Linked DNA regions of Rattus norvegicus. The protein of the gene in region 2 binds, or shares a complex with, the protein of the main gene of each other region. Links are inferred from orthologs where the notes say so. Each region holds a gene or a part of one and is shown on either strand. Other genes may lie near its edges.

The links.
Region 1: Actr2 (region 2) and Arpc2 share a complex: the UniProt entries of both Homo sapiens proteins name them as parts of the arp2/3 complex. The link is inferred for Rattus norvegicus from reciprocal best matches to the Homo sapiens genes ACTR2 and ARPC2.
Region 3: Actr2 (region 2) and Arpc5 share a complex: the UniProt entries of both Homo sapiens proteins name them as parts of the arp2/3 complex. The link is inferred for Rattus norvegicus from reciprocal best matches to the Homo sapiens genes ACTR2 and ARPC5.
Region 4: Actr2 (region 2) and Arpc3 share a complex: the UniProt entries of both Homo sapiens proteins name them as parts of the arp2/3 complex. The link is inferred for Rattus norvegicus from reciprocal best matches to the Homo sapiens genes ACTR2 and ARPC3.
Region 5: Actr2 (region 2) and Arpc1b share a complex: the UniProt entries of both Homo sapiens proteins name them as parts of the arp2/3 complex. The link is inferred for Rattus norvegicus from reciprocal best matches to the Homo sapiens genes ACTR2 and ARPC1B.
Region 6: the proteins of Actr2 (region 2) and Arpc5l are in contact, whole or in part, in a cryo-EM structure (PDB 6YW6), measured with the Homo sapiens proteins. The link is inferred for Rattus norvegicus from reciprocal best matches to the Homo sapiens genes ACTR2 and ARPC5L. Residues at the interface, in NP_005713.1 of Homo sapiens: Tyr225, Glu263, Phe266, Gln267, Arg319, Lys322, Gln323, Ser338; in NP_112240.1 of Homo sapiens: Arg11, Arg12, Val13, Asp14, Ile15, Asp16, Glu20.

The regions. Positions count from the first base shown.
Region 1 is NC_086027.1:83,268,769-83,272,934, forward strand, and holds the start of Arpc2 (actin-related protein 2/3 complex subunit 2), read left to right. Parts: upstream 1-1,490; coding exon 1,491-1,564; intron 1,565-4,166. Other genes in the region: uncharacterized protein LOC103690558, read right to left, coding at 746-833, 912-1,392, 1,450-1,492. UniProt on the Homo sapiens protein: Actin-binding component of the Arp2/3 complex, a multiprotein complex that mediates actin polymerization upon stimulation by nucleation-promoting factor (NPF).
Region 2 is NC_086032.1:98,532,293-98,536,262, reverse strand, and holds the start of Actr2 (actin-related protein 2), read left to right. Parts: upstream 1-1,170; 5' UTR 1,171-1,234; coding exon 1,235-1,282; intron 1,283-3,970. UniProt on the Homo sapiens protein: ATP-binding component of the Arp2/3 complex, a multiprotein complex that mediates actin polymerization upon stimulation by nucleation-promoting factor (NPF).
Region 3 is NC_086031.1:67,453,083-67,457,178, reverse strand, and holds the start of Arpc5 (actin-related protein 2/3 complex subunit 5), read right to left. Parts: upstream 2,801-4,096; 5' UTR 2,739-2,800; coding exon 2,596-2,738; intron 471-2,595; coding exon 398-470; intron 1-397. UniProt on the Homo sapiens protein: Component of the Arp2/3 complex, a multiprotein complex that mediates actin polymerization upon stimulation by nucleation-promoting factor (NPF).
Region 4 is NC_086030.1:39,844,637-39,848,678, forward strand, and holds the start of Arpc3 (actin-related protein 2/3 complex subunit 3), read right to left. Parts: upstream 2,801-4,042; 5' UTR 2,691-2,800; coding exon 2,685-2,690; intron 1-2,684. UniProt on the Homo sapiens protein: Component of the Arp2/3 complex, a multiprotein complex that mediates actin polymerization upon stimulation by nucleation-promoting factor (NPF).
Region 5 is NC_086030.1:14,606,689-14,610,906, reverse strand, and holds the start of Arpc1b (actin-related protein 2/3 complex subunit 1B), read left to right. Parts: upstream 1-1,418; 5' UTR 1,419-1,486; exon of another isoform or gene 1,487-1,511; intron 1,512-4,218. UniProt on the Homo sapiens protein: Component of the Arp2/3 complex, a multiprotein complex that mediates actin polymerization upon stimulation by nucleation-promoting factor (NPF).
Region 6 is NC_086021.1:43,168,311-43,172,401, reverse strand, and holds the start of Arpc5l (actin-related protein 2/3 complex subunit 5-like protein), read right to left. Parts: upstream 2,801-4,091; 5' UTR 2,742-2,800; coding exon 2,593-2,741; intron 2,381-2,592; exon of another isoform or gene 2,200-2,380; intron 2,154-2,199; exon of another isoform or gene 1,864-2,153; intron 1-1,863. UniProt on the Homo sapiens protein: May function as component of the Arp2/3 complex which is involved in regulation of actin polymerization and together with an activating nucleation-promoting factor (NPF) mediates the formation of branched actin networks.

The DNA.
Region 1 (4,166 bases), on a different chromosome or scaffold from region 2:
TTTTTTTTTTTCCGGAGCTGAGGACCGAACCCAGGGCCTTGTGCTTGCTAGGCAAGCGCTCTACCCCTGAGCTAAATCCCCAACCCCACACATTCTTTTATAAAGATTTCTTTCTTTTTTTCTTTTTTCTTTTTTTCGGAGCTGGGGACCAAACCCAGGGCCTTGCGCTTGCTAGGCAAGCGCTCTACCACTAAGCTAAGTCCCCAACCCCGATTTATTTCTTTCATATATATGAGTACACTGTAGCTGTCTTCAGACACCCCAGAAGAGGGCAGGGGATTCCATTATAGATGGTTGTGAGCCACCATGTGGTTGTGGGAATCGAACTCAGGACCTCTGGAAGAGCAGTCAGTACACGTAACTCTGAGTCATCACTCCAGCCCCTACCTGCACACTTAAAACAAATATTCCCACTATCAAACCAAAAAAAAAAAAAAAGTTCATTGCATAGAGAAGGGGCTTAATTAAAATTGTTCCTGGAAGAGAGAAAAATGGAAACATGGTACCCACGCAGAAAGGACAGTGGAGCACAGTGATAGAAAATTCTAACTGTAGCAGAGTTACTGGACCATGAGGATCACCTGAGGTGCACTTAAGCAAAGAAATGAAGGTGTGACAGGAATCCCGGAAGGCCCATCTGGATTCCTGTTAACTTTCTTGACTACTCATTCCTTTCCTTTATTGCCCAGTAACAATGTGTAGTTCATTGAGAATTTATTGTGTCTCCTTTATCAGACCATAAGCTTTAGGAGGGTAAGTCGTCATATTGCATTACACGATGCCCACTAAACAGTCGCTGGCAAAGAAAGGCACGAAGGTGCTGCAGGGTAGCCCTAAGTAAAGAGCATCCACAAGTTAGAAGCAAGAAGTTCCCCCAAAACAAGCTTCTTACGGGGTTTCAGAAATAATACCGGAAGGGTGGAATCGGGCCTCTGGAATATTCGGGAAAGGCGCAGGTGGATTGTAGTAAGGACAACAGGGAATGACAGGTGAGCGTTGGACTCAACTGGTCAGGAGAGGCGGGGCGGCGTGCCGCGCATGCGCACGCATGCCCTCTGCTTGCCTCCTTACCGGGACGCGCTTGCGGGCGTGTGCACGCTCGAGGTCGAAGCGGAAATGGCGCCGCGGGGCCGCGCGTCCGGGCGGCGAGCGGAAGTGGGTGTGAGAGCGGAAGTGGCCGGCTGGAGCCGGGGGCTGGGCGGGGACCGGGATCGTCGGTAAGGCGGCGGCGGAGGCGGCGGCGGCTCGGCAGGCGGGTTGAAGCTTCGGGGGCCAGGTCGGTCGGGTGGTGGCTGCCTCTACGGGCAGCGCGTGCCGGGCCAGCGCGTGTGTCCGCCTCTCCCCACCCCGCTCCCCGTCCCCTTCTCCCCTCACCTACCGCACCCAGCCCCCCTCGTCAGGGGCAGCGGGGCCGCTCCCTCAGTCCTACCCTCGCTTGCCCACCCTCACCGCCCTTGTTTCTCCTTCCCCTGCTCGGGGCAGCCGCCGCCATGATCCTGCTGGAGGTGAACAACCGCATCATCGAGGAGACGCTCGCGCTCAAGTTCGAGAACGCGGCCGCCGGGTAAGCGCACACTGGGAGGAGGCCGAGTTGACCCTAGCTAAATCCCGGGTGGCGTCCAGCTCCCCAGCCCTAGAGGGAAGAGGTCGGGAACCTGGCGCGGCTTCAGGGTTTCCTTAGCAGGATGGACGTGGGAAGCCACGGGGCGCGGTAAGCCGAAGGCCTAAGATGCGTGGGGAGAGGCTGAGACAGGGATGCGGAAGCAACGAGAGGGCAGGAGCAAGGCGTGCCAGAGAACAGACGACCTGTGGGACGTGAGGGCAGCCGAGGCCAGAAGTCACGTCCGAGAGCCTACTGTCCTAAGGGGGAAAGAGAGGGCCCCACTTTCCTCTATATTTACCGTCATTGTTCCGAACCCAGAAAGACCCTTTTGGGGAAGCTGGATTGAATGGAGTTTTTAGGAATTCCCAGGATGAGGTGGGAAGAACATGCAGGCCCAGATCGCCACCGGCATTCTGCTTCCCCACCCCCATCTCTCCCCCAGGAGAAGCAGGAGGCAAGACTGAAAGCAGACCCAGGCTTCTAGGAGGGAAAAAACCCTCTAACCTACTGCGAGAGACACTAGCCATTTTGTTACATATCTCTTAGGCAAAGCCAACAGTTCTCCATCCACTCTCTTTAGCTCTCAAGACAAGGTTGATTTGGTTGGGTGTCTTAAATTCTTATCCAAGACACCTGATCTTTGATTTCTAGTAATGCCCGCTGGGTTAATAGCTGCCTCTCCCAGAATCTATAAAGTTCTTAAGATAATTATTTATTAACATCAGCATCTTAATATGGGACGTATTTCAACCCTTCTCTGTCAAACACAAAAAAGCAAACTCCTCCCTTAAAGCTGCTTTGCCTCCCTAATGTATTTAAAACCTGAGCAGAGGTTTTAGGTTCTAATTTATGGTGGCCTGTGGCCACTCCTTTGCCTCATTTCCTCATTGGTGAGGATGGGGCTTCACATTTTGGTTTCACAGTTAGGAGGTAAGTGCAGACTGTTTCTGTGAACGGGGAACTGGAAATAGGAAAGTGCTTGCAGATCCACAGAAAGGAGAGGATTGGAAGGGGGGATTCATTCATTCTCCTCTTTAATTCTAAGCATTTATAATGAATGTGTGGTTCGCTGACACTGAAAGCATGGAATACATTGCCTGTTCTGTCTCTTTTGTAAGGCTCCACGTTTTATCTGCAAACAAAATAGGACAGTCCTTGAATTGGTGCGTTCAGTGAACATAGTTTCCTGCCCTGAGTGCCGTTGAGCACATGCTGCCTATTCACTCGCTCTTATTCACCTTGTTTGCATTTTGAGTTTTGGAATTAGTCGACACACCGGGGCTTATTGTAGGTGATGGGGTGTGTGCTTTTTTTTTTTTTTAATTAGTGTGGCACAAATGAGGAAGTTAAGATAACTTCTGCATTTTCACAACTGATCTTAATACATACATTCTCAAGTCTTGACTAGCAAAGAATGAGTCCTGGGTGGTTATAAGCGGATCTACAAGATAAATGGCTGCGTGTGTTCAAGTGGAGGCATGCCTTTAAATGGAGGAGGACTTTCATAGTTATTTATTTGTTAATAACTTGATTCTAAAATGTGACCCACTATTCAGAACCTTATGTAGCCCTTTTACTTTTAGAAAACTCTCCTTAAAGTTCTGTGGTCGGTGATGTATGCCTGTAGTCCAGGCACATTCAACTGTAACCCCAGCTTTCAGGGGCTCATATGAGCGAGACAGGAACAGCAAAAGTTCCAGGCCCTAATGAAACCTTGTATTTAAAAAAAAAAAAAAAAAAAAAAAGGCCAGGCCAAACTAGGTGTGATGTGCTTGTAATCTCAGTTCTTAGGCCATCCTGGCCTACCTTGTTGCAGAAAGATTAAAATAGAGTTTTAAATTTGGAGGGCATAAGTTAGAATTTCTGGTTTGTTTTTTGTTTTGTTTTGTTTTTTTGGATAAGGATGCTCACTGTAGCCAGGTTTAATGTCTGAGGCAGTAGTATGTTTTGTCTTATTTAGTTCATCCTTGGGATATGTGGCTTAACAAATATGCTCAAAACATTGTGTTTAAAAAAACTTTGAGAATCTTTGAGAAGAGACTGTGAAGGGCTGGGGTTTCCTGAGATTGCCTGTTTCTGCAGGGTGTGGTGGTACTCTCCCATAACCCTAGCACTCCTATAACCCTGGCAGCAGGGCCAACACAGGTTCCAGGCCAGCCAGGGATTATTTAGTGAGACTCTGTCTCAAAAGAAAAGAAAAGCCAACCTCTAAGCAAGTGTGCTCCAGTCTGCCTGTCAAGATGAGGCAGCACTGAAGTGGTTACTGAGGCCACGCGTACACCACTGCTGTCTTCTGCAAGGATGGGTCTCATCGGAGCTCAATGCCAGGCAGCAGTTGAAAGAACAGGGAGCCTTTTGAAGACAACCTGTTAGCAAAGTTAGGGAGGAACTGATGGACAAGCTCTGTTGGGAGAGGATAGAAAGCTTAAAGAAAAGGAGTAGCCCAGAGAGACTGTGCAGAGTGAAAGGCTGTGCAGGGTAGAAACCTGGGAGAGCTCAGCTCCACACTGCTCTCTGCACTTCTCAGAACAGATTAATAGGGAAATTCTGTTCATGGTAGCCT
Region 2 (3,970 bases):
CTGTAAAACAACTTTTCAACCTAGCTAAACTTGGGATTTACATTACATATATCCTTCCCATTGATCCTTCCCTTTCATTGTATCTTTCTAACAATTGTATCTAACAATCCTTCCATGTCTCTACTATAAAACGGACCTCGAGAGGCCGACAGCGGTGACACAGTTGACTAGCCAGTCTGGGTGCATCCCAAAATTAGCTTGCTCTAATTGGACAATCATGGATTTGGTCTTTTTAATCTGTGACTCTCGGTTTTAACACAAGGATAGACAATGCTACCCTGTCTCAGAAAACAAAGCTAAACTAAAGGAAAGGGTTTTGTTTGGTGTTTCTTTGTGTAGCCTTGGCTGTCCTAGAACTAGCTCAGTAAATAGACCAGGCTGGCCTGGAATTCACCGAAATCCAACTGCCTCTACTTGTGTGCTGGGATTGAAAGCGAGTGCAACACCACCCGCTAAATCAAAGACTTAGGGTTTCACTGTATGGTTCTGGCTGGGCTGGAACTCCACGTAGACCAGGCTGGCCTCTATTGCTATAGTCCTCCTGAGTGCTGGGATTAAAGCCACCACACCCCGCCTGGAGTTGTCTGACTTCAAAGACGAGATTCTAGGTTCATGCGTAGCCCTTGTCTCTGTTTCCAAGGGACGCTATGGAGGATCTCAATTTTGAGGGCGGCATTTGGCAACATAGCGAGTTCCTGTCAAAGGGGGAAGTGGTGAAGCAGAAAGAAACGAAAGCATCCCGCCGGGCTCCTGGGGCTGCAACTGGAGGTGTGAAATAAACCGGAGGCTTTAAACTGGTGTAGGTGTATCCATCTAGATCTAGGAGCAATGACACATCATGCCTCGGGACCTCCAGGTGGCTTTCGGTCTTCCCAGCCCGCTGCTCCACCCTTCTCCACCGCCTCCGCGCCGCTCTCTCGCCGGCCTTCACCTGCCTGCCTCCAGCACAGCCGTCCGGGCCGCGCCCTAGGTCCCGAGACACCTGGGTCAGAGCCACCGCCCCACCAGCCTTGCGCAGCGCCGGAAGCAGAGCGAGGCGAGAGGGCGCGCCCATACCGGGCAACTCTCATTGGTCTTCTCGGCTGCCAGTCCCCGCTCTGCTTTTTCTCTGTACCTCCCTCTTGGAGCGGCTGCCGGGCGGGGACTTCCGGTTTGGGCGGAGCGGCTGGCCGAGGGCGGGGCCGTGTGGAGGAGGAAGCGGGCCAGGCCGGGCGGCGGCTCACCAGGGCGAACCATGGACAGCCAGGGCAGGAAGGTGGTGGTGTGCGACAACGGCACTGGGGTAAGACCCGGCGGGGCGGCCGCGTGTGTGTGCGGGGTGCGCGCGGGCCCTTCGGCTGCGGGGGCGCGGGCAGGCGCGCGGGCGGGCTCTCGAGGGACGCGGGCTCGCGGGAGGACGTTCGGGGGGCGCCGGCCGGCCCTGAGCCGGTGTCCCGGAGCTAAGCTACCCCGCAGTGCACCCGAAGGCGGCGAAACCGGTCCCCACAGGCTCCCGAGCATCCGCCCGCGTCCCGAGATGTAGGTCTAGGTGGCGAGGAGGTCTCCATTTCCGAGCCTCGCCTGTGTCCGTCCATACAAGACCTAGCGGCCTTCCTCTTCCTGTGTAGCTGAAGATGCCGAATGCGAGGCAGGAAACGGGTTCCGCAGAGAAAAGAGGAAGTGCTGTCAGGCCCTGGGCCGCGGCCCTAGCTCTGGGCTTCGAGGCTGCCCCCGGAGAGTGTGTGGGCTGTCCCTGTCGTCTGTGGTTTTGAGAGAGGGGGATGGTCGGCGGCTTCTGCTTCACCTCTTGGCTTGCATGCAACTCCTCATAGACCCTCGTCTGTGGGAAGACTTAGGAGACCTAGGGCCTCTCAAGTCGTTAATTCTAGTTGGATCAGTACTAGATAGAGACTTCAGTCTTAAAGATGCTAAAATTGTCAAAATCAGACCAAAGCTCAGATTCGGAAAACTATTTGCAACTGGTTTCTTTCTATTCCCAATTAAAAATGAGTTTGGAGCCTCAAGGTTCCAGTTTTGAAGGTGCAAATGTTTCTTTTGAATGACTTCTTCAGTGATTTCTATTTTAGCGTTGCAACATTTTGCGACTTTTCTCCTCTCTGCCACAAAGATGACACACAAATTAAAATAGATTTTACTTGAATTATCTCTTTGAAGCCAGGTTGTTAAAAAGGGAAAGGAGCTGGTATTCTCTGCCACTAGAGTGCCCTTGGTTGAGTTGATCACAAACTTTGACAATTATTGTTCTAGCTCCATTTAAGCTAAAACTGGGCTTGAATAGCATAGGTAACAGAGTACAAAGGGGCATTCATACTACTGCTGTGGTAACAGATCACAGTAACTTAAAAGTTTTCAAGCAACGCCATTTATGTGTTCGTTAAAGATACTTATGTTGCAGACTTCATGTAGGGATACAGAAAATGCATCTCCGGGGTTGGGGATTTAGCTCAGCGGTAGAGCGCTTGCCTAGCGAGCGCAAGGCCCTGGGTTCGGTCCCCAGCTCCGAAAAAAAAAAAAAAAAAAAAAAAAAAAGAAAATGCATCTCATATTTTTTGAGATAAAGGATAAAGCAGTGAGGAAAACTATGTAGAATTTTATAAAGCTTCTAAATTATCAGGAAAAAGATTTTTAAAGCAAAGCATGTATTGTTACACTATATTCAAACTAAATTATAAATGTCTAAACTTTTCTTAAAAGTCTTATAAAAGTGCTTATTTAAAAAAAAATACCATCTTAACTACCAAAGGGATTACTCAACAGTTAAGAGCCCTTGTTACTCTTGCTGAGAACCCAAGTTTGAGTCCTAGCATCTGTGTGGTAGCTTACACCTATCTGTAATTGTAGTTCGAGGGTACTCAGTGTCCTCTTCTGGCCTCTGTGGGTCCTAGGCATACATGTGGTACAGACATCCAAGTAAACACACATAACACTTAAAATAGCAATAAGTCTTAAAAATATTTAAAAAAGCAGTAAGTCTTAAAAGTATTTTTAAAAGCTGAAGTCATGGCGTACGTACTCCTTTTATGCCAACATTTGGGAGGCAGAGACAGGCAAATCCCCATAGCTGCATAGTGAGACTCCATCTCTTTCTTTTTCTTTTTCTTTTTTTTTTTTTTTTTTTTTTTAATCCCGTTTCTTAGGACAAAGATCAGCTACTATGGTTTAAGTGAAAGGAGCTAACTCAAACAAAAAGTTTTGTATTTGGTATTATTCTTGTAGTTACTTAAAAGCTCTATTCACTTTTTTTTGTACATATGTTTGGCTGTGAATGAAATAGTCATATCCTCATATTCATAGATAGCTCCGATTTAAATCATAACACAGTTAGGAATATTGTGATGTCCCTTAAGAAAACTTGAGGACGGCTGGGGATTTAGCTCAGTGGTAGAGCGCTTACCTAGGAAGCACAAGGCCCTGGGTTCGGTCCCCAGCTCCGAAAAAAAAAAAAAAGAACCAAGAAAACTTGAGGACTAGTACATCCTTAGATTCTGTTTTGTTCCCTAACTGCTTATTCTTCTAAAGTCATCTCAGTTTTACTTAGGGACCCGAAGTTATAATGATGTCTTTACAATTAAATATTAGAGAAGACATTATGATTCGAGTTTTAAAAAAAAAATAATAGAAAAGGGTTTGGGGAAATGGCTCAGTGGATAAGTCCCCAGAACCCACATGGATCTGGGATTGTAACACCAGTGCTTCCACCACAAGGCCCGAGACAGAGAAAGGAGAACCTCAGAGAGCTTTTGGGCTAGCTGAAACTGTATGCAGCAGTGGACAGCAAAAGACAAAGTGAAGGATGAGGACCAGCACTTGAAGTTGCCCTCTGATTTCCAGAGGTGCACGCTCCATAGCATGCATTCTCCCACACGCTCACCCAGGGATCCTCATATACGTACCATCTAGTCACACACATAACGGGGGCTGGAGGTGTAGCTCATTTAGTAGAGTGCTGGCCTGATGTTTGAGAAACAGA
Region 3 (4,096 bases), on a different chromosome or scaffold from region 2:
ATTAAGAGGCAGCTGAGTGTTTTTTGAACCTGTTTGAATTCAACTCGAGCAGATTGCTCCTTAAGCACACACAGAGCTGGTGTCCCCACCCTTTCTGTTTACTGTGCTCCACGCGTCCTAACCACATGTCAGCCCTATTTTCCATGACCGTTCTACTTAGCAGGGGCTTCCTTTCGGGCTGGATGTGGTGGTGCATGCCTTTAATCCCAGTGGAGGCGGGAGATCTCTGCAAGTTTCAGGCCAGGTTATAGACTCAGGTCCAGTCTCAAAACAAAAGTCACACTGTAAACCCTCGTGTCAAGCACAGTAAATAGTTAAAATGGTCATTGAAGGTAGGTGTCAGAGGACTTTGATAATAGCGAAGCAGAAGGGATTAACGCTGTAGTTTACCACTCACCTTCACTGCCTGGCTCTTTGTGTTAATGGGGGGGTTTTTCAGAGCGGCCTGTAGGGCAGCGGTCATGTTTCCTGTAGTGAAGGTTAAGGGCATAACAGAAAGGGCAGCCCCGGGGTTGGGGATTTAGCTCAGTGGTAGAGCGCTTGCCTAGGAAGTGCAAGGCCCTGAGTTCGGTCCCCAGCTCCGAAAAAAAGAACCAAAAAAAAGGCAGCCCCACTTTATGGGACTGGTGGGTTAGACTTGACTTTGTGAACAGTAACAAAAACTACTATGGTCATTAACTGTATGGGTTTCTTTCCAATATGTCAACCAAAGGTTAAAATAATGAAATTAAAAGAATATGATTTTTTTTTTTTGGTTCTTTTTTTCGGAGCTGGGGACCGAACCCAGGGCCTTGCGCTTAAGAATATGATTTTTTTTAAAAGCAAAGATTGTTCTGACCTGTTCTGTCAACCAAAGAGATTACACTTTCCAGGGAAATACACACAATTGTCTAGACAGGTATTCAAGAAGTCTTAGAATATGCCTAAGAATTAAGCCATCGAATGATGCAGTTTACCAACAAAGTATTCCATCCTGTCTGCGTGATTCTTACTGGAAAACAAGCCTAAACTTGATACTGAAACTACACTGTGTATTAACTGAGGTGCTGGCAGATTACTCTGGCAATCAGAGTGGGACAGGCCGTGATAGCTGCATATTGATGAACAGGGCTCCAGATGATGTAATAACCCACACGACCTGTAGGTGGCAGCTTACTTTATTTCCTACAGGTTATTCAAACTGGGCTGGACCCTCCATACCTACTTCGTACTGAAAGCACTAATGAGTTAGCAAGCACGGGAAACGGAAGGCCAATCAGACTGTCAGAAAAGACAGTCATTTCCCTAAAAGGAGAACCAGAGTCACTTGTTCCTCCATCTGTAGTACCCAACCGGGGCTGCCGCTCCTAGTTATAACCAGAGACAGTACCTTTATATTTGGATAAGATGGATTGATGAAAAGGTAGACTGAATTAATAATGGATACAGTCATAATAATCACCAGAAATTACCTAAAATACATTAGTTTAATAAAATATCATATCCACCATAAAGATTTCTTTAAACGAAGAATAAACTCACCACTTCTGTGGAAAAGGTCTAATAAAAATTATCTACAGTTAGTGATAAACTACTGTCAAGCCTGCATAGTCTCTTAAAGAACACTTTTTAAAGAAAAAAATCCCAAGTATTTTAATAAATAAATTAGTAGCAACCAATGTGGAAGTAGTGGTAATGAAAGTTAAACGTATATGGCACATATATGTATATATTCGATGCTGTGGTTACCACTAAATATTTCTGCTTACTTCTTCATCATAATCTAGTAGAAAATCGATGAGGGAGATATGTATCTACAGACTTAATGAATACGAGTTTTCTAAAGCTCCAATTTGGGGTTTTGTGACATTTCTATTTTTCTAAGGGATCAATGCAAATGATTTTCAAGGTTATGAATATTCAGATATGCAAACCAAGGAACCAGGAACTGACAGCCATATTTTAACTAGCCTGGAAACAATTTCAGAAAAACGATTTTGATTTATAGAAGTGACTCATTCTCTGCTTTATTCACTGGGGTTCATCTTAAATTATTCCCAGGGATTCTCTACATGCATTCCCTATCCTTTTCCTAGTAGCCTTTTCTTAGCAGGTGAAAGGCTCAAAGCCTTACCTGGGAATTTTGGATTAGAAAACTCCCTTCAGCCTGTTCATAAATTATATGCAACCTTGCCCAAACCCTCTTCTTTTAATAAATAACACTGCTGATGGAAAAAGCTCATGGGCTGAATGTACGGAGGGCCTCAATTTGTTCCATCTCTCCTGGCTAGAATAAACTATGCCCGCTCCGCAAATCACACACACCCGACAGAATAGCAAGACTCCAGGCGGGACCCGTGTCCCCACCGGGCAGGAATTTTTGGAGCTCAGGTGCCCACTAGGGCGTCATCCGGTGCCCCCCCGAGAGGGTGCGGCCGCTTAGGACAGCGCACCTGAGGAATCGGGGCGCCGGCAAGTTCGCAGGCGCGGCCGCGGGGTGCAGGCGGCCTGATAGCCCCGGGACCTCCTGCCCTCCGTCCCCACCTAGAGCCGGGCACAGCTGGCCGCGTGTCCCCGTGTCCCCGCAACCCCAGGCCGCCGCGAGCGTAAGGATATTGCCGTAGGCATGAGTCCACCTCGCCCTCGTCGGGCCCGGCCTGGCCATCGCCGCCGTCCTCCTCGTCCACGAACTTGTTCTCATCATATTCGTCCACGTCCACCTTCCGGAAGCGGGCCGACGACACCGTGTTCTTCGACATCCCGGATCGCGATGCAACTCTGGCCTCCCCTCCGCGGTGCCTCTTCTTCAGCGAGCCTAGCCTTGTCCGACTCACTTCCCTCTTCCGCTCTGGGGCGTCGCCGGCAGCCGCTGCTTGCTCGCTTCTGGGCCTGCGCGCTAGCCGGCGCGGCTTCCTCCTCAGCTTCCAGCCATCCTTCAGCCCCCGCTCCGCCCCCGCGTCCCCCGGGAGCGCGCGTCGGCCAGGGAGCGCGCGGGACGCACGGCGCACGCGCGGGCCCGCTGCAGGAAAGGGGCGGGGTTGGAGGGAGAGAGGCGGGGGCGGCGGGCGGACAGAAAGCGGGCTGAGGCGGAGCGGGAGACTTGATTGGCCGCCGGGGAGCGTCACGTGACACCCGGGAGGTTCCCATAGAAACGCTTTTCTGCGGTCCAGCCTTGCGGGGGGTCTTGGGCTGGAGGCTATGGGCACTTGGGGCGCGTGGCCTGGAGTGCTGCCGCCGTCGGTGCCAGCCGCTTGTTGTTGGGGTCCGGTGTGAAGTGTGGGTGGTCGGACTTAAGCGTGGGGTGGGATGGACTGGCTGCAGAACCTAGTCCCCTGCAGTCAGCGGGAGAATGAGGCGGAGTGATGCCCAGCACGAAACTAGTGATCGGAGCCCTCCATTCGGACCGAGCGCCGCCGGGGGCTGCGTTCCAGAGCTGAGAGCCCCTTCCGGGGCTTGGGATCTTGGCACGCTGTCGGTGGGAGGTCCCCAAGGACGGAGTCGAAAGGTCACTTCTTACCTGTCAGTGCTGGGGGACAGCATCGCGGCCGGACCTGCAGAATCTCAACTCGGTATTCTCTCCATCTGGAGGGAGGGAAAAGATGCTTGGGCCGGGGCTGGGGACGGGTAGCGAAATTGGGGCAAACTTGTAGCATTTTCTAGAATCAGTCATCACATCTTAAAATAAGTAGTTATTTGGAGCAAGAATGCCAGAAGAGGGTGGGCGAGTTAGGCTTTTCAGCGCTGGCGCTGAGGGAAAATAGCGTGTGCAAGGATTAATAGAAACTGGACTTTCAAGGTTGTTATTTATTGTTTAAGGCACGCCAGATCAGCTTTTTTGCGATATTCCACATTCCCGTCAGAGGCACTAAGATTAAACAAATAATAGCTGTGCTCTGTGCATTATACTGTCGTACACGTATTTACAAAATAAAATTAATTCAGACACTTGGCTATGCTCTGCTTAGATGCAGATCTACCTGGTTTCACAAACAGCAGAAGGCTGGATGTCATCCTGTTGAGTTACCTCGTTTGTTGTGCAGTACTGAAAAAGAGCACTGGGCTTGGGATCAGAAAGCAGTGGCTGAGTTTCGACTTTTTTGCTCTCATAATCTGCGAG
Region 4 (4,042 bases), on a different chromosome or scaffold from region 2:
TCCACGCACTCCAGCAGATGGCGCTGGGGTCCCTGGAGCTGGAACTAGGCAGCTATGAATTGCTGGGTATGGACGCTGGAACAGAATTGTGGTTGCTGGGAATTGAACTCAGGACCTCTGGAAGAGCAGCCAGTGCTCCTAACCACTGAGCCATCTCTCCAACCCTTAGGTGGTTTTTCATCTCACCACCTGGTAACACTTCTGTTATCCTGAGATGTGTCTGCATTGCTGCAACTCCAGGGCCTGAGGGGTCCACCCTTTCGCCCTGCCCTTCACGTCCTACGTGAAGATTCTCTTAAAACTTGCCAGCCATGAAAGGCTATGAGGCTAGACCCCAGCTAATGGAGAAGAGACAAGAACCGCACTGATTCCCAGGTCAGTGTGCTTGATAGCCCAGTTTGGGTCCAGCTCATGGCGCCTTGTGCATGTGTTTCCAATAGCAGCAAGCTGAACCGTCTCTCCTGATATGAAGCTATATATACGATGTTTCCAGCTAACAGAGAAAGCAGACCAAATAAGCAATCACAGACTAAGTCTAGAGCATTCGTTCTGTGTCCACCTGGCTTGCACACAGAGCTTTTCAGTTCTAGCTTTAACTTTGGCTTCACTACTCATGAGCAACACTGCTAGGTTGGGTGAGAGAGATGGCTCAGTGGTTAAGAGCACTGACTGCTCTTCCAGAGGTCCTGAGTTCAAATCCCAGCACCCACATGGTGGCTCACAACCATCTGTCATGGGGTCTGATGCCCTCTTTGGCATGTCTGAAGATAGCCACACTGTACCCATACAAATAAGTAAATAAATAAATAAATAAATAAATCTTAAAAAAAAAAAAAAAAAAAAAACCCCACAAAACATTGCCCAAGTCATTGAATTTTGCTGAGCCCCAAGTCCTTCAGCAGGATATTAATGCCATGGACATCTCTTTTACACTGTCATCCTGAGAGTTGGGGGCTCTTTGGACAATAACTCTGGGTTTTCACATGTACCTCAATAGTCAGAAACCATAAAAATCATAAATCTTCCAAGGCTAAACATGGTGATGCCAGGCAGGCTTGCGATCCTAGCTGCATGGAAAACTGAGGCAGGAGGATAACAAATTCAAGGCCAGCCTGGGCAACTTTATGAGACCCCTTTACAAAAATAAGAAAGACACGGGAATCTAGCTCGGTGGTAGAGCATCTGTGTATGTAGCATGCCATGGGGCCCTGGGTTCAGTTCCCCACTGCTGCCCAAACACACACACAGCTCAAGGTTATGCTTGCCCTAAGAAGCCTTACCTATGCCAACCTCTTGCCCACATCCCCAGGTCCCTTGTTCCCCCAACCCGTCATCAGGCACTGGTTTGGTTTTACTTTTTGCACATGATCATGCATGCCCGTGTGTGTGTGTGTGTGTGTGTGTGTGTGTGTGTGTGTGTGTGTGTGCACGCGCGCGCGCGCGCATACTGGTACGTATGTGTATGTCCCCAGCTGGAGGCCACAGGTCTCTTTCTTCACTGCTTTTCACTTTATTTTTCAGACTGGGAGCCTCAGGGATCTCTATACATCCCCAGCTCTGGAATTGCCCACAGGAGCTGCCTCCCCTGGCTGTTTTACTTGGGTGCTAGGCATCCAAACTCAGGTCTTCACACTTGTGCCACTGAGACACCTCCTCAGTCCTACTATGTATTTGTGTGTGTGACAGTGTCTCTTACTGAACCCAGAACTTGCTGATTTTTGGCTAGGCTGGCTGGCCAATGAACTCGGAGGATCTGACTGTCCTTTGCCTCAACAGAGCTGGGGTCAGAAGCATGATCTGCTATACTCCCGCACAACAAGCTCTTTCCCCAGTATTTTTTTTTTTTTTTTTTTGCCTCTCTCCATTTCTTACAGCTATGTAACCCAGGCTGACCTAGAACTCACTACACACACAGTCCACACTGATCTGAGATTTGCTATTCTCCTGCCTCTGCCTTCAAGTTTTGGGATGAAATAATTGCCACCATCGTTGCCATCGATCTATTTTCTTCACAGCGTTTGTTAAGATCTGAAGCTACTTCCTATTTATATTTACGCGGTTATTGTTTCTCCGTTAAAGTATCAGCTCCCCGAGAGGGCCTTAGCTGCTGCTGTTAACAGTGCTGGCTTCCCAGTGAGAGTTCAGTAGTAACACTTGTCCAATGAAGGTAGACCTTATTCAAGCGTCCCTTTATAATGTGCAATCGGCATCAATTTCCTCCCACTCGGATGCACACGGAAAAGGAAACTCCTGGAAACTAGCGCTGACTCAGTGGTGGTCTGGGAGTTGGGTGGGAGTTACAGCAGGGAGGACGATGGAAGGGGTCCATCAGGGAAGTGAAGTCTGACAGGTGATTAGCAGCAGGCCGACTCACTCCCTGGGGCGGAGGAGGAAGTGGACATGACAAGAGCGGGGGGGGGGGGGGGGGAGAAGCTGGACCCTAGGTTTAAAAATAAAAGCCATCATTTTTAGGTTTGAGGCTCTAGAGTGGGACCTGGGAACACTGCAGGACTGGGGGTTTGGGAGTGGAAGCAGCGGGGCGAGAGAGCCGGTGCTGGAGGCAAAGGACCGGGGCTAGAGAGCAGGGCGGTTTCCTCTCCCCCAGGCCTTTTGACGCAGGTCTCCCGCCTCCCCTCAGGCCCTCGCCCCGCTCGGCTCCCCGACCTTGGGGCTCGAAGACTTACCGGCATTTTGTCGGTGTCCGGATTCGATCTAGAGATGCTGAACCCAGGTAAAGCGGAGCAGCGTTTCCGGCAAACTAGACTGGGTGGAGTGGGCGGAAATAAGCCGGAAGAGGCGGGCGAAGCGAATAAACGCACTTCCGGACCCGCTTCCGCTGTTTGCTACAGCTGCACTGATCGCAATGAATGCCAGGGGGCGCGCCAGCAGTAAGCTCTGAGTGTGGCGCATGCGTAAAACGCACTCAGAAAAAATGGATGGGCTTTAGAATTGAAGAATCCCTCTCAAGTGGTTAATAATCAACTCCCGTTTTTTCCTTATTCCCTGGCTTCAGCTTCAAAGCCAATAACACTCAGTTCCCCGATTTACCCTTCTGCCATGTCTATTTTTTTTTTTAATTTAACCACAGTGCAAGTGGGGGAAGTGGGGGAAGTGAGATCTGACTTCCCATTATGAGACTCGGGATAAACTGTTTTCAGAAACTCTTGCACACTAAGCAGACTTGGCGGCCATTATTATTATTATTATTATTTTTTTGTTCTTTTTTTCGGAGCTGGGGACCGAACCCAGGGCCTTGCGCTTCCTAGGTAAGCGCTCTAACCACTGAGCTAAATCCCCAGCCCCGGCGGCCATTATTTTTATTTTTCAATGTTTATGTTGTTAAGAGTCACAAGAAGTCGAGGCTGGCATATACATATATATGAACATGAACTTATCTGTCTCCACTTGTGTTCAGGAATTACAGATGTGTGCTCCACTACTCCGTTATTTTATTTTGCTGTTTTATAATGCCTACGGTGGTATCTCTGTCTCCCTACCCCTTGACCTGCCATCCACAAAATGTGTATCATATATCATCCCTACTTTTTAAAAAAATATTTATCTATTTATTTCATGTATGAATACACTGTAGCTATCTTCAGACACAGCAGAAGAGGGCATCAGATCCCATGACAGATGGTTGTGAGTCCCCATGTGGTTGCTGGGAATTGAACTCAGACCTCTAGAAGAGCAGTCAGTGCTCTTAACCGCTGAGCCATCTCTCCTGCCCCATCCCTACTCTTTCAACACGGTATGGTGTTAGGTCTTTCCTGATCACGGTAAGGACTAGGTGGGCAAGAAAACCAAGTATTATAAGGGCCCAGGTGATGCCACATGTCTGAAAGGGTGGAAACAGACCTACCACTGACCCCATCATATATCATCTAAGTATTTTGAGAGTCTCGCTGTGTAGCCCTGGCTAGTCTAGAACTTGCTTTGTAGTCAGTTACATTTTAAATCCCTTGTTGTGTGCAAACTTGTCCTGAGGTCAGAAGGCAACTTTTGTGAATGGGCTTTCCTTCCACCACACAGGCCCCAGGGA
Region 5 (4,218 bases), on a different chromosome or scaffold from region 2:
CCAGCCCCCAAAACCTAAGGAGACTTTTCTTTTCTTTTTTTTTTTTTTCCCCCAGAGCCGGGGACCGAACCCAGGGCCTTGCGCTTGCTAGGCAAGCGCTTTACCACTGAGCCAAATCCCCAACCCAAACTTTAGGAGACTTAAGCGAAGGCTGGGGATGTAGCTCAGTGGTAGAGTGCTTGCTGTGTGTGTGCAGGGCCCTGAGTTTGAATCCCAACACCATAAAAAAAATCACTGGCTCAGCGGTTAAGAGCACGGACTTCTCCTCCAGAGGTCCTGAGTTCAAATCCCAGCAACCATATGGCGGCTCACAACCATCTGTAATGAGATCCGATGCCCTCTTTTGGTGTATCTGAAGACAGCTACAGTGTGTGTGTGTGTGTGTGTGTGTGTGTGTGTGTGTGTGTGTACACACTCTAATTCATTATGGCTGGTATGTGTGTGGAAGCAAGAAGATAACCTACCTGAAGGAGTCTATTCTCTCATTCTACTGTGTGAGTTGCTGGGAATTCAGTTCAGGTCCTGAGGCTGGGTGGCAAACACCTTTGCCATCTGAGCTATCTTGCTGGCCCATTTCTTAGTTTTTTTGAGGCAGGCTTTCGTGTAACCCAGGCTGGCCTTCAACTGGCTTAACACAGCCAAAGAAGAACTTGAAGGTCATCTTTCTTCCTCTACCTCCCCAGTGCTGGGATGATAGGTGTCACCATGTCACAGGCACCTCTAAACATACGAGTCACCCTAGAGAAAGCCTTCAGGTCTCGGTGTAAACGAAGCCCGAATCAGTGATACAGGATACTGCTGGGAGTTTAGGAAAGAGCTCTCCTAAGGTGGGAAGCAGAGAAAAAAAAAACTTCAGAAGCACATAACCTGGATGACCTTTGACCCTGGAGCATCACCTGACTCCGGTGGCTGCAAAGCTGTTCAGTAACTCGGAGGGAAGTGTGTGGAATACAGAAGCAAGAAGTCACCTGGAGTGGCCGGTGTCCTTCTTCCTGGACACCAGCGGTTCTGCTATCTTTGGGACACTGAGAGTCAGGGGAACAGCGGCTGGGGTGCACCTAGTGTGTGAGGGGCAGGGCCTGCAGGAGACATTAAGTTGTAGGGTGCCTGCGTGTGGCCTCAAACACCTTTGAATTGTTGGTGGCCCGATCTCGGGCTTCCGCCCTCTAGCTGCTCAGACAGCTCTCCCCTTCTCTTCCGGCCTCAGTTTCCCCATTCAGAGAGTAGTTAGGGGCAACAGCCTGCGCTCTCTGGACGAATCTTGAGCTGAGCTGGACTTAACTGAGGTCCAGGCGGCTTGGTACCCGGAGGGGTGGGCGGGCCCTGGGATCTGGCCACAGCCGCCTGGGTCCCGCCCCCGGTCCCTGCGGGGCTGTGCCCGAAGGCCCCGCCCCCCGCCCACGAGGAAGTGGCTGCGGCGCTGCGCGGGTCTCAGAGCCGGTTCGGCGCGTCGACTGTCCAGAGTCCGCGGCCGAGGAGACCCGAGGTGAGGGACGTGGGGTGGTCACGAGGTGTGTGTGGGATCTGAGGCTACCTAGAAGTCAGGGAACTCGAGCGATGTTCGACGGTGAGGGGGCTGAGGATGAGAGAGGAGTGGAGAGCCGTGTGCATGGGGGCCTGGTGGGGCTCCCGGCGAGGGTGGGGCTGGCGAGGAGATAATGGGGGACCGCGTTCTGGGGATGCGGGGTGCGGTGGGAAGGGTCGCAGAGAGTCCCCGCGCACTCCACGCCATCGAGGCGGCACAGCCCCAGCCCTCGCTCCCCCTCTTCGCTTTCCTGGCCCCGCTTTCCTATCCTCGCGTCCCGAGTTGCCCCGTTACTTTGGGCGCAGGGCCCCACGCCCAGTCACTTCCCCCTTGGTTCGCAGCCTTCCGGGTTGTTGAGACCGGGAAATGAGCTAGCACCCTGCCCCGCCTCACCCTCCCCCCCAGTGACCATGCCCACTCAGCAGGGGTCCAGGTTCCTGGGTCTCACCCGGTCTGGGCGAGTAGACCCGGGCGGCGCGAGGGGCACCCAGCCAGGCCATCCTGGACAGGGCAGGTTTGGTGGGGCCGGCGAGCGGGCAGGAATCCTGAACTGGGAGCCAGCCCAGGTGCTGGCCGTGGAGCTTGTTCCCGGGAGGCAGCTCCAGCCTGGGGCGGTGTAGCTGCTCCTGCTGTTGTGGCTGCTGACGCAGGCGAGCTACCTCGCCTGTGTAGAGCTCAACTTACCTTGCCGGAAAAATGGGGACCTTCCAGATCCGGAGGCTTAGCGGCCAGATGTGGCCAATACACTTGGCAGTGTGCCTGCCTGCCTGCAGACCTCATTTCTGCACTTGGGTGAACCTGGCCTTGTGTGGTGGTGGCGGTAGGGTGGGTTGGTGTCCGAAGCCCTGCGGGGCGACTTGGAGGGAAGTTCAACTTCTTCACGTGGACAATTAAAAAAAAATAGATTTACCAGGTTGGCTTCGACTGTAAGAGAATGTGCGGGGCTGGGAGACCGAGCAGGGCATCATAAAAGCACTGACCGGGGAGCATGAGGGTCTGAGTTTGAATTCCGGGACGTCCATGGCGCTCACACACACACACAAGTGCAAGGCAAAGTTCTGTGTGAATGAAAATTCCTAGTGATTCTCTTTTGCTCTGGGTTGTTTTGTTTTCTAGACAGGGTCTTTCCTCCCCTCCTTCTTTCCCACACCTCCCAGGCTGGCCTTGAACTCTTAGAGCTCTGCCTCCCCAATGCTGAGATTAAAGGTGAACACACACCGGGGGAACTTTTAAATAACAAATAACGTTAACCAGAGTTAATTTTGTTCTGTCTTGGTCCCTGGGCCTCGAATTTATTAGGCAAATGCTCTACCAATGAGCCACACCCTCGGCCTCCCCAGTGGTATGTGGGTTTTTCCAATCTGTCACTCATCCATTAAAAAAGGATTTTCTGTAGTAAAGAATCCCAGAGAGAGGGATTTAAAAGTTTGCTTTTTCAAGTTACTAAGTTCATCCGTGTTATTTTCTCCTTTTAAAGATTTATTCTTACGTGTTGGGTGGCGCGCACACACACACACACACACACACACACACACACACACACACACACACGCACACGAGCACACGAGCACACGAGCCCCAGGGTGGTGGAAATGATACCCCCTGGAGCTAGAGTATTTATTTGGTGGTTGTGGGTTGTGAGCTGCTGGAGTCCCAGGTTCGCTTGCACAGAGCCCTCTTTCCACCCTATGTTCTATCTGTCCTTACACAAGCTAGCACACTGCCCTTCCAAGGCACAGGACAAATGAGGCTCTCTCCACAGCCCTGCCAGCACCGAGTGTTCTGGGTTTTGGAGAAGTTTAATTTTGACTATCAAAACTGCTGTTTTACAGTATTTTGGAATTTATTTTCATCTGTGTTGCTGGATTTGACATTCCCCTCACTCACTCAAGGGCAGCCCAGAGGAGGAAGGGGAGGAGGAGGAGGAACTAGGGGCTTGGAGGGCCGATCACACCACCCAGGCTACCCACAACAGGAAGTTGAGTAAGGCTTAGCACCATAAAGAAGAAAAAGAAAGGGCTGCTGGCTCTGCTCAACTGAACGCCTGAGCTGGGCGGGGACTTCCTGGATTGCCTGTGGAGCCAAGGTTCTTGCTGCAGGGAACTCCTGCCTGGTCTAAGTCTCAGATCCAGCCAAAATGTGGATTCAAGGAAACAGAGCCAAGAAAAGCCAACTGAGAAGGAAGGACCAACAGGCTGTCCCCATTTGGGCCCAGGTTGGGGCCAGGGCAAAGGATGCCCCGCCCGGATGGAGAGTTAGAGGAGTATTTATTTATAACTACATTTATTTATTTGTGTGTGGGGGTGGGGGGAGTGAGAGGGCAAGTTACAAGAGCTGCTTGGTCCCTTGTTTCACTATGTGGGTCCTGGGGATCAAACTCAGGTCACCAGGCTAGGCTGGAAGCTCCCCCTATCTGTCTGTCTGTCTGTCTGTCTGTCTGTCTGTCTGTCTGTCTAATTTATCACAGGTTCTCCGTATGAAGCCCAAGCTGGCTTCAAACTCATGATCCTCCAGCCTCAGCCTTCTGTGTCTTTGATGAGCAGCAGCACACCCTGTTGGAGAGTTGTCAACCCTGTCATGTCGTCCCATGCTCCACACCCCCCCCCCCCAAAAAATAGTGTTTCTCGGTTCATCATCCCTCAATACAGACAGCAGGAGAGTGGAAATCATTCAGCAATGGTCAGGAAGTATTC
Region 6 (4,091 bases), on a different chromosome or scaffold from region 2:
TCAGACAAACAAGGACTAGTCCTGATAAAGCCACTGATAACCCTCCACCCCATAACTTTTCTAACTTGGTATCCCCAGGCAATAAGCAGGTCCCATAAACCTAACAGTACATGGGGACTAACAGTCATTTTATTCACAAAATAGATAGGGAAGGGCAGAAATGATACAATTAGTCTGTAAGGATGAAAACATTAGACTCGGTACTGCAGCTTGCCAAGCAACCACAGACAACCAAAGGCCCACAAATGCTGGGTAGAATGGGGAGCAGAGAGGCACCTCTACAATCACACAATGTTTACTAAACTGGCCTCCATACCCAGATGGCTGCCAATAATTTCAGAGAACAGGCTATGGTAACAGAAGAACCCTATAGACCATTCTCAGACATGGCCCTAGAGCAATTTAGCAACCTCCCTGGTCTCTACCCTAAAGTTTCCAGTAATACCCCAAAACTGTAATAATCAAAATATCACCAAACATTGCCAGATTTCCTTGGGGTGGGGTGAAAAAAACTACAAAATCACTCAAAACCACTGTTCTACAGTCCTACTTGGGAAGCTGTTTCCCAAGAAAGAAAATGAGCTACAGTGGTACTTTAAAACTGCTGGAGTGGAGGAAAAATTCTCCCTGGAGGTCTTGGACCCAGGACCAGATGCAGTCACATTTCACCTTATTCTAAAAACCCTCCAGGACAAGAGCCTGACTTCTACCCTAAAGACAATGAAATTGAGTCAGAGGGGAAATTACCTGCCCAAGGTCACAAAGCTACATTCAGAGCTGACCTTCAAATCCAAGCCCTTTCTACCATCCCTTGCCCCTACTACAGCCTGGACCCAAGTTTTGGAGGATATCTGGTGTGTGTTCAGTTATGCTCCCGTTGAAGCGGTAAGACCAACACAGTTGTCTCTATCGTTTAAGAAGAGTGCTGGGGTTGAGAGGGTATGTGGTCAGCAGCAGTTAAAACAGGTTAGACTCTGTCTGTCCATGTAAGCACACAGTGGCTTTCTATTCCCACATTCTGCTCTTCCACAATGACAATTCCCAGCACAGCCCTGAGACCGCCACCTGCAAACATCCCCCAAATCTCTCTGCTATTCTCCCTTTAGACTCACATGAGGTTCTATAGACTGAATGCAATGATTGTCACCTGACAGGGACTCAATGATCCTTCTCCCTACCTGGGCCTAACATCCTGCTAGGGTTTCACTTCTAATCTGCTAGCCTCTCTTCTCCCAATACCAAGAGGTACTCTCTCCATGGTAACAAGGCTTCTGACACTGCCATGAGTGTAGAAGCCATCTCCTCTATGAGCTAAGCCAGTGCCTCTAAGCTACCTCCAAAAACAGAAGAAAAAGAAAAGAAAAAACCGTCAGGGCCTTCAATAAGTCCCAGCATCAATACCAAGGCAGCAGCTGACAGATCCCAGCCTCTTCATCAATATACTTAGGATTCTGGCCCAAATACATTGCCTTGTCAACAGTGACTGCACATAAACCAGTCTTCCCTCTAGGGGCCTTCTCATGACCCAATTTTAACCAACTTAATGGTGCAGGAAATACCAGTTTGAAATATCCACATTTGAAAAACACATTCCTGTTCAGTCTAAAAGGGTTGTTTTCAAGCTACATTAGAGGAGCACTACAGGACTCCTCCCAAAAGCTGTACACCTGACTTCCCAGGTTGAGTCAACTAAACCTGATTTATATACAGCAAGAGCTTTCAACCCTATCCTGGCAAGTACGGGGGAGGGGTACACACTTCCTGTCAAGCTATTTGAATAAAGAAAAAAATCTTCCTGTGAGAATAAATCAGTTTCCTGTGGTGCTCCAACTGCTAAGAGACCAAGCCAGCTGTGACAATCACCTCTATTTTTACTCTTCTGTTATAAATGCTTGTTTTCTGTGGCCACCAGCAGTCATTTTCAGTCGCAGGGAGCCACTTTTACACTTGACACTGTATGGTGTATTTTAGCTCTGAATCACTAGCTTTTTCCACGCTTTCTGCACAAGACGGCTAATGGCAGAGTCGCATTACTTGTTGAATGTACTCGGCCCATAAAGGCCCAAACCCCAACCTGCTGTGGTAAGTGGAGACAGGCGAGAAAAGGTAGCAGGCAATACCACACCTGTGGGATGGTCCTAAAGCTGCACCTCCCCCACCTCCGCCCTACAGTCAGTCTTCCTCCAACCATCCACCCACCTATTTTCGTGCTGGGCTGCAATCGGGCCCAAGAAAGCCAGTTAGACAAGCGCAGGTGGCCCTGGTTGCCCGATGAATCAAAGGTGGCTCACCTCGGTCCCTCTTGAGGACCAGCACCCGGGAATGACCCCGCTTACTACAAGGAGGGATAAAGGGATACCAAGGCCGATGCACAGTCACCCTGAAGGATGCAGAGCAAGGCCGAGAGTGAGACGAGCTCCTGGGCCGTGCTGCTGAGAAGGCGTGAGGCCACCAACGACGGACCCGGGGAGCCTGGGGCTGGCAGGAGCCCGGAGGGGGAGGGGGGAGGGGCGGAAGACCGGAGGACCGGGACTGGGGCTGGGGTGATCAGGGTGCGAAGGCCAAGCCGGGCCGCCACGCTGGGAAGGATATTGCCGCAGGAGCCCGTCTACCTCGCAGGGGTCGGGGCCTGGCTCGCCCGACGCCGCCGCCGCCTCTTCGTGCTCGTCTACGAATTTGTTCTCGTCAAATTCGTCGATATCCACTCGGCGGAAGCGTGAGGACAGTGTGTTCCGGGCCATGGCGGGAGCGCGGCGGCCGCCCAGCCGCCTAGGCTTCGCTCCGTACCGGCTCCCTCCGCACCGGCTCCGCTTGGGGGCGGGAAGCGGCCGCCGGGCACCTCCTCCCCTCCTCCGCGCGCAGCCGCCGTCGCCCGCCCACTTCCAGGATGCACCGGAACCGGAAACTCTTGTGGGCAGGGCTGCGCTGCAGGACTGTGGAAAGCTGGTGTAGTGCTGTCGGAGGTTGCAGGCGTAACTCTGTCGTCCCAGAAGCCGGACTGCAGTGCAAGGACATCTTCCGCCTCTGTCCGCTCCGGAGGAAGAAGTTTATGAGCTGATGGAGATGAGTGGTAGTGAACCGCAGTGCCGGAGTCTCTTAAACACTAACCGCATTGACCCACAAGGGACTTCTTTGTTAAAACTAAACGGCTCTAAAGGCGTTAATGTATAACCCGGGGCTGGCAGGACGCTTGGTAACAACTTTACTTGAGGATGTACCGACCCCTGCGAGCGTTCCAGAAAATAAAGATGACTCATGGCCACCTGTACTCCTAACTGAAGAGGCGCATTTTAGGAGGCGAAAACTACAGAATTCCCATAATTCGATGGGAGGAAGGTGGCTTCTAGGACGGACGCTTGGGATGCTGGTTTCTCTTTATTTCAACCGTAGGCTAAAATGAATCCTTTTTTTTGTAATTATACGAAAGCTATTATATTTTCACCTAATAGAACGCGAACAAAAATCAGGTGAAACATGGTTTTGCTTTACATAGTTCTCCTTTAACTTCAAATCAAAAACTTCCAGGCTGATGCACCCTAACCTTGGGATGCTAAAGGCAAGCTCCCATGGGGGCAAGTACACGCTGAATAAAGACTCAGATCCTGAATGTAGTCCTGCCTCATACCTAAGAAGTAATAGGGGCGCAAGTTAATCAGAAGATAGCAGGAATTCATATCCCCAGAACAACTTTATTATTTTTCTTAAATATTTTGTCTTCAAGTATTTTTGAGCACCACCTGGGTGTATTGCCTGCTGGAGGCCAGGAAAGGACGTGGGATCCTTTTGGAACTGGGATTACACAGATGGTTACTAGCCACCATGTCTTATGGTTATTGGGAATGGAACCCCAGGTCCTCTGTAAAAGCAGTAAGTGCTTTTAACTGCCCAGCCATCACTCCAGTCCCTCCCTTAGAACATCTTGGTCAGAAGGAACTTAATACCAGAAATACTGGTTTGACAGGTAAATAGCCTCAAATAAACTAATGAATGAAATAATGTTCTAGCTTGTGTTCATGGATGTTCATCAGGCAAAAGGGATTTTTGTTTTGTTTGAGACAGGGTTTCTCTGTTTTACCCTGGCTGTCTTGGAC